Linked DNA regions of Canis lupus familiaris. The protein of the gene in region 1 binds, or shares a complex with, the protein of each later gene. Links are inferred from orthologs where the notes say so. Each region holds a gene or a part of one and is shown in the gene's direction. Other genes may lie near its edges.

Region 1 (3,644 bases):
ACCTGACAGAGCATCCTGACCCGAACAATGAAAATATCGTTGGCTATAATAACAAGAAGTGCTGGCCCCGAGATGCGCGCATGCGCCTCATGAAACATGATGTCAACTTGTGAGTCTTAAATGGGGGCTGTAGGAAGCTGTGGGAGCTGGAAGGTTACCAGCCTGAGGGACGCAGAGCATAGAGGGGATTTATGAAGTTGTGTCCTGGGCGGGAGGAGCATACTCTCCTAGGGTATTGTGAGTCTGGCAGTCTGAGGGAAGTTCCCTTCAAGTCCCGGGAGACTGAAGTGACCATATGTTCTCTGTGAGCAGGGGTCGGGCAGTGTTCTGGGACATCAAGAACCGTCTGCCACGGTCAGTGACTACAGTTCAGTGGGAGAACAGTTTCGTGTCTGTGTACAGTAAGGATAACCCCAACCTGCTGTTCAACATGTGTGGCTTTGAGTGCCGCATCCTACCTAAATGCCGCACCAGCTATGAGGAATTCACCCACAAGGATGGGGTGTGGAACCTGCAGAATGAGGTACAGTCTGGGAAGGGGGCTAGGAGCAGCAGTATCATCCCTGTTCCTCTGGGGTACATGGGGGTGAGGACACCATCATAACTTTTCATTATCAGTTAATTTGAGCCTTATTGAATAGGTAGAGTTTAGTTTGGGGTGGGGGGGGGTGTCAGAGTTGGTCCTTGCTTCTGTGGCAGTATCAGACATAAATTTCACCTTGACCATGTGGTTTAGGTTACTAAAGAGCGGACAGCTCAGTGTTTCCTGCGTGTGGATGATGAGTCAATGCAGCGCTTCCACAACCGTGTGCGTCAAATTCTGATGGCCTCTGGCTCTACTACCTTCACCAAGGTATATAAGGCAGTCAACCCCAACCTCCCTCATGTCTTCTATCTCCTATGCCTTTCAGCTCTTCTCTTGATTTGCTCTTGTTTTTTCCCAGGCTTGCTCAGTGTACTAGTTTCCATACCTTATGGTATAGAAGCTTATAACGTCAAAACAGTTCAGGTACTTTCTGAGAATACTCTGTAGGGAATGTGCAGTGTAGTTCTATGTAATTGTGGTGATTCTAAGGTAAGAATAGAAGTTGAATTTTTAACCTGAACAAAAGTTTTCAGTTTTTGCATTTTCCCAGAGTTTATTATTTATTTATATAGCTCATCTTTGACCAATAACACTGTGCATATTAAAAAGCAAGTATGACTAGCTATCTCAGTGATTATTTTTCCCTTCAGTTACTTCCAAAGGCCCAGCTGAAGGCAACTGGAATTGAGAAAGAATAATCTGGGGATTTGTTAACTGTATACTTAAGTGTCTGCAAGGTTTAAAAAGTCACCTTACTCTTCCTGCTGTCTTTCCATGCTTCCATAGTGGTGCATATAATGTCTTGGCTGACGCTTTCAAGTGTCTCAGTAATGCAAAAAGAGAAGGAAATGCCAGGTTCTTATTAGGCTGTGCCCCAAACAATGCTTGTGTTAAGGATACATTTTCTTTTTTTTTTTTTTTTTTTTAAGTTTTATGTTTTTAAGTAATCTCTACACCCAACATGCGGCTCAAACTTACAACCGCAAAATCAAGAATCACATGCTTTTCTGACGAGCCTTCCAGGTGCCCATTATCTTAGTATTTCTTACTTAAAATTTCTCACTTCCCGGGGGTGGAGAATGGTACAAGAGAAAAGTTTATCTTTTGGGGTTGGTTTATTCCCTCTAAGGATCAAATAAGAATTATATAATTCATTCATCCTATTGGTGTTTGTTGGTAAACTACTGTGTTCAAGGCTGTGCACATACTACGTGTAAGATAGAGTCTCTGCCTTTGTTGAGCTGGCCTAACCTAGGTGAAGAGACGGATCCATGGACAAGAACTAGGATGTAGTGTTCATAGAGGCTGTGGTATTTGGGAATCTATGAGGAGACTCAGGTTAATGACCCTAGCCCAGTCTGGGAGAGGGTGATGAAAGGCTTCCTGAAAAAAGTGAGGTGATGAGGCAGGTGAAGGCATTTCTTCAGCCCTGGAGAGGTAACTAGCATGATACAAAATTCACGGTTTTATTAGAGTACAGTTGTGGAGTTGGAACTGATAAGAGATGGAGATTGGATAGATGAGCTAGAGCCAGACAATGGAGGCCATTGCATGCCTTGTTAACAGTCCTGTGAGGGTGTTAGGTGTGCAAGTGACTTTTCCAGATTTCTTTTTTTTTTTTTAATTTAAAAAAAAATTTTTTTTTATTTATTTATGATAGTCACAGAGAGAGAGAGAGAGAGGCAGAGACACAGGCAGAGGGAGAAGCAGGCTCCATGCACTGGGAGCCCGATGTGGGATTCGATCCCGGGTCTCCAGGATCGCGCCCTGGGCCAAAGGCAGGCGCCAAACCGCTGTGCCACCCAGGGATCCCGACTTTTCCAGATTTCTGTTATATGATTCACTCTTGCAGCTGTGGAGAGGATGGATTTAGAGGAATCGGGTGGGAGATCAGGTTTGGGGACTTTTTTTTTTTTTTTTTTTTAAGATTTTCTTCATTTATTCATGAGAGACAGAGAGGCAGAGACATAGGCATCCCAGGTTTGGGGACTTCTGAAGTCCCAATGACAGTGGTGGGAGCAGTGAGACAGGAGCAGATTTGATAAGTAGTTAGGTAAAATCAGCAAAGCCTCATTTTGGTGGGAAAGGGAAAGAACAGTTTCTGGCGTGGCTGACTAGCTGGGTATTGGCACTACCAACTGGAAGAGTACAGGAGGAAGAGCAGGTTTAGGAGAGAAGGTAAATGGATTTAGTGTAGGATGTAACAAGGTTAAGGTTCCTGAGAACATCCAGATGGAGGTGTTTGGCAGGCATTTATTATATCCTATTTTTTTTTATTCCATGATAAATATGGGGGGGGGTGTATGTGTGTGTGTCCCCTTAGTAATGTTTCTTAAATTCGTGGTCTCTTAGATTTGCTGAAAAATACTTCGAGCTTGAAGCTTTTGAGGGAGAAATGAAATGAGAAAGTGAGAGCAGTCAGGGGTAACTTCGAGGCTCCTATAGGATGATCAAGTGGAGCTTGGCGTCTGAAGCTTGGAGAAGATACCTGGTTTGAAGATGTAGGTGTAGCAGTCTGTCAGCGTGGAGGTGGTTTAAAGCTCCAGAGTGAAAAAAAAAAAAAAAAAAAAAGCTCCAGAGTGAGCAAGATTACCCAGGTCAAGTGTAAGGAATGAGAAGAGCAGAGGGATGAATTTGGAACCATACGAAACAGCAGCATGGCCAGGCTGGGAGAGTGCCGGGTTCTCAAAGCCAAGGACGTCAGGAATTGGGGTGGGCATTTAACAGTGTCAGTTGCCTAAGAGTGTTTTAGTTAGATAAGGCCTGAAAGGTATCCATTGGATTTGGCAGTCAGGACGTCATTAGTGACCTTAGCAAGAGCTGTTTCAGAAATAGTGGGGATAGAAGCCAGATTGCAGTGGGTGAGGCTTTATGGGAAGTGAGAGAGTGGAGACAGCAAGGACTGGCAACTTGCCAGAGCTGGAGTAAGAGGAAGGAGGAAATTAGATGCCACCTAGAGGGAGTTATAAGTCAAGGCAGTATTTTTAAATGGGATTGACTTGATGTTCCCATCATGATGGAGCCAGGAGCCGTTGAAGGTGCAGCAGACCTTTGTGGT
Region 2 (4,077 bases), on another chromosome or scaffold:
AAACTAGGAACAGGAGGGGAAGCGTCCCAAGCCGCCCAACCACAGAGGCCTCCCACACGCGCTGGAAGCCGAGGGGCGGCTCTCATCTGGATGCAACCAGACCTGACACACTTTCAGAGACATCCCTCCTGCTGTGCCGCCCATGGACTGGGGGGTGTGTGAGACGCAAGTGGCCACCGGAGGCTACAGGAGAGAGATGGGGACCTGCGGCGGGCAGCTCAAGGTTAATGGGACACCACTCCCTGAGCTGCATCACCCAGGGAACCGGGGAGGGAGGACCTGCAAATACAAAGTGCGCTTAGGAGGATGTCCACCCCCCGGCTGGCAGCAGGCCCCCCGCTGGCCCGGAGACCTCTGACCCCAGCTGCCCGAGGAGGAGCACGCTGCAGCTGTCACCCCATGAGCATCACCGCCGAGTCCTCACTGACGTCTTCCTTTTGCAGATGAGCAACTGACGCCCGAAGCTGGGGCCTCCCTTGCCCAAGGTCACGCAACAGAACACGGGGCGGCGGTTGGACCCCACTCGGGACGCGGGCTCTCGGCCGCTCCCTGTGGGGAACCGGGGGCCACGCCGGACGGCTTACCGCAACCACGCGGGTGGGCGCTAACCTCGCGCGGAAGGGGAAACTGAGGCTGGGGGCCAGGCGGGGGGCGTCCCCGGCGGCGGCCGGGGGCCTCGGGACGGAGCAGGGCCTGGGGAGCCGGGGGGCCTCCCGGACTTCAGACCCAGGCGCAACTGGGCGACGCTGCGGCTGGGGAGGGCTCCGGGGGGGGCCGGCCCGCAAGGTCACGGCCCGGCTCCCGGCCCGCGGGCCACCGCGCGGGGGGCGAGCAGACCCGAGGCTGGCCCCCAGGCCAGGCCGGGCGGGGCTCCCGCGGGGCGCGGGGCCCGGGGCGGAGGGACCGGGCGCCGCAGCCGGCGGGGCCGGCGGGGCCGACGCAGCCTCACCTGGGTCGCGAGGAGCAGGAAGGCCGCCGCGAGCCGCGCCAGCGCCGCCGCCGCCGCCATGTCAGCCGGGTCGAGCCGCAGGCGTCGGCAGATGTTTCCCAGCAACGCCCCGGCGCGCCCCGCCGCGCCTGCGCCGTGTGCGCTCCGCGCCTGCGCACGGGGGCGGGGTCAAAGGGCGCGCGGCGGCGCCTGCGCAGAGCGGCGCGCGGCGGCAAGATGGCGGTGAGCGCGCGGCGGGGCCGGCTGGGCGGGCGGCGTGGGACCCGGCCGCGCTCTGCGCCTCACGCGCTCTGCTTCCCCCGCAGGACAAAGAGAAGAAGAAAAAAGAGAGCATCTTGGACTTGTCGAAGTACATCGACAAGACGATTCGGGTGAAGTTTCAGGGAGGCCGCGAAGGTGAGAGCCCCCCGCCGCCCGCCGCCCGCCCCGCCGCCCGCTCCCCGTCGACGGCTCCGGGAGGCGAGCAGGGTGGCGGATGCCCGGGCGCAGGCCGGAGCGCTTTGCTGGGAGGACTCGCGACGGCCTCCGTCCGACGCCGTGCACGCGGGGAAACTGAGGCACGGGAGGAGCTGCAGACACCCCGAAGCGGCCGAGGCGCAGGCGGGGTCCTCGCTCCGAGGCAGCCGCCCCCGCTGGTCCCCGCTGGTCACTGACCCCCGCCCCGGCTCCTTGGGCTCCGCACTCGTGACCCTGACGCCAGCCAGATTGTTCGGGGCTGTCGGGGCGCTGGGGGGAGGGGAGCAGCCAACCCCCGGATGCCGCCAGATGCCAGGACATGCCTTAGCTTGGGCACCCCAACCAGGCATCTCCCTTGCCGAGCCGCGGCCCGGTGTCAAGGATGGTCCAGAGGGGCCTGTTAAACACAGGTGGGCCCTCCTCTGGGCCGCCCGGTCCCTCCCGGGGAAGGGGCAGCCTTGCGGAGCTCTCAGCTGCCACCAGGCTGTGACGTGCACCCGCCTGCTGGGCTCTTACCAGGCTTAAAACACAAGGCTTCTCTGGGTGAATGAATTTCAAAGATCTCGGGAGCTTTCTCCCACTATTCACGAGCCAGGGAGCACCCCACCTAGGAGACGGCGCAGAGCCCCAGAGGGTTTCGTAGGCAGAGGGTGCAGGAGCAGACGCTGGATCGCTTCCGGCAGGGTCCCCCTCCTCTGGGGGATGCTGGGGGTTCTTTCAGGAAGACTAGCTCGGGAGGGCTGACCTGGAAGTTCCAGGCTGACTGGTGGAGATTGCATTCCTGGGAGAGCTGCAGGTGCGGCCAGGTTAGGTATGAGGCCGCGGTGGGGTGGCCGGGGCTTGGCACGAGTGACGCCGTTGGGAGTCTCTCTTTCTAACTCCAGGTTAACTCCACAGTCATTTTTCTGCTCTCAGCTCAGGATTCTTGTTCCAGGAAGCCTTCCCTGATCCTCCACCCTGGGCCCCACGCCTTTGGTGTCAGCTCCTGGTACCGTCTGTCACCGTTCCCCGCTTTACGCAGTAAACACGACACCGACCTCTGCATCTTTCCCCTGGAATAGTGAGGAGGGCAGGAGCTGGGCCCAGTGTTGCTGGTGCGTGTAGGCAGTGTGGCCTCTGGGGTCCTAGCACCAGGCAGCTGGAGTCAGAGCCACAGCTCTTTGGCGCACTGGCTGTGGGACTTCGGGCAGCTCACCCCGCCCCCCAGGGCTCCATTTCTTCACTCCCCCCACCTCACCGGGCGGTGGTGAGGATCACAGGGTTGGAGGCACCTTCGATGTGGTTTCTGACACAAGCAAGCACTTGAGCAACATTTCATTTCTTCAGCTGCCTCTTTGCTTTCGTTGTGTTTCATGAGACAGTGACCCAGATCCTTTCTCCCGGAGATGTGGACGATTGGGTAGCATCGGCGTGGTTAACAGCGCGGTGCCTGCAAGTCTAGGTAGCCAGCAGTGGTGAGAACTTGAACCCGAACAGATGTTTGCTCTGTCTGCGCCGTGCTGGCTCTGGGACCCGTGAAGGAGACACAGCTCTCGTTTCTCAGGGTGCTCATATGGGTTTTCTACGCTGTGTAGCAAGTTGCCACCACGTTAGCAGCTTACGCAACATGAATTTATTATCTTGTGGTGTTTGTCAGGAGGAGTCTGGGTGCCTTGGGCTCAGGGGCTCAGGTTGCACTAAAGGAGTGTCTCAGACGCCCTGTTGGTTGTGGGCAGGGTTTGGTCCCCTGCGAGGGTCCTACCCCTGTAGGACCAGGGTCCCCGAGCTCTGCTACAGGTGTCCTAGAGGCTGCCCGCCGGCCCTGGCCACAGCACTGTCCACAGCATGGCAGTTTGCTCCCTCAAGGCCAGTGGGAAGATCCCTCTCATGCTTTGAATTTTTTGACACAGTTCCTGTTCCCCTGAGCTCATCTGATTAGGTCAGGCCGGCCGAGCAGAATCTCTTTAGGTGAGCTGAGAGGGCACTGATTCTGGGACCGTAATCACACGTGCCCGTTCCTTCGTCTTTATCCTCCTGTAACCTAATGGCAGGAGTGGCATCCCGTCCTATTCACAGGTTCCCTCCCACACTTGAGGGGAGGGGTTCCACTGGGTGGTCACCGGGGTCAGCCCCATTTTAGAACTCTGCTCGTGCCCCACGGAGGAGGGCAGACCCGCAGGTGCGGCCACAGTGCCCGCTGCCCATAAGCTCGTCGGGGAAGTGTCCTCGGGACCTTTGTCTTGCGGGCGGAGGGGAGGTCAGTCGGGGAGAGAGGAAGGCACAGAGCCAGGCGATCTCGGTCACGGCTGGAGGCGTGAAGGCGCCCTGAGCCGGTGAAGCTGCTCACAGGAGCGCAGCAGGCCGGGTTGGGCCCCCACGCCGTGGTGCGCAGAGCTGTCGGTCCCGTCCAGCCCCGTACTCCCCGCAGACACTACAGCAGCGCGGTGGAGCGTGGTGGGGGCACCCCTGCTTCGCCAGCTGTGCCTGGGCCGGGAGGCCTGAAGGCCGGAGGGGCAGGGCTTTGGGGCGCGTCCCTCTGGCCGTGTAGGCGCCGCTCCTCTGCGCATGCGCGCCACTGCTGGTTTCCGTATGGCTCGTGAGCTGAGAACGGTTTTTACGATTTCAAATATCTGAGAAACTGAAGCCATAATTGCACGTTTGTGTATCCAAGTGTCTGCAAGTCGCCTGGCTGC

What was found.
Region 2: PRPF8 (region 1) and LSM7 share a complex: the UniProt entries of both Homo sapiens proteins name them as parts of the U4/U6-U5 tri-snRNP complex. The link is inferred for Canis lupus familiaris from reciprocal best matches to the Homo sapiens genes PRPF8 and LSM7.

The regions. Positions count from the first base shown.
Region 1 is NC_049230.1:45,759,783-45,763,426, reverse strand, and holds part of PRPF8 (pre-mRNA-processing-splicing factor 8), read left to right. Parts: coding exon 1-109; intron 110-312; coding exon 313-523; intron 524-736; coding exon 737-853; intron 854-3,644. UniProt on the Homo sapiens protein: Plays a role in pre-mRNA splicing as core component of precatalytic, catalytic and postcatalytic spliceosomal complexes, both of the predominant U2-type spliceosome and the minor U12-type spliceosome.
Region 2 is NC_049241.1:57,200,369-57,204,445, forward strand, and holds the start of LSM7 (U6 snRNA-associated Sm-like protein LSm7), read left to right. Parts: upstream 1-1,155; 5' UTR 1,156-1,165; coding exon 1,166-1,171; intron 1,172-1,254; coding exon 1,255-1,345; intron 1,346-4,077. Other genes in the region: SPPL2B (signal peptide peptidase-like 2B), read right to left, coding at 950-1,009. UniProt on the Homo sapiens protein: Plays a role in pre-mRNA splicing as component of the U4/U6-U5 tri-snRNP complex that is involved in spliceosome assembly, and as component of the precatalytic spliceosome (spliceosome B complex).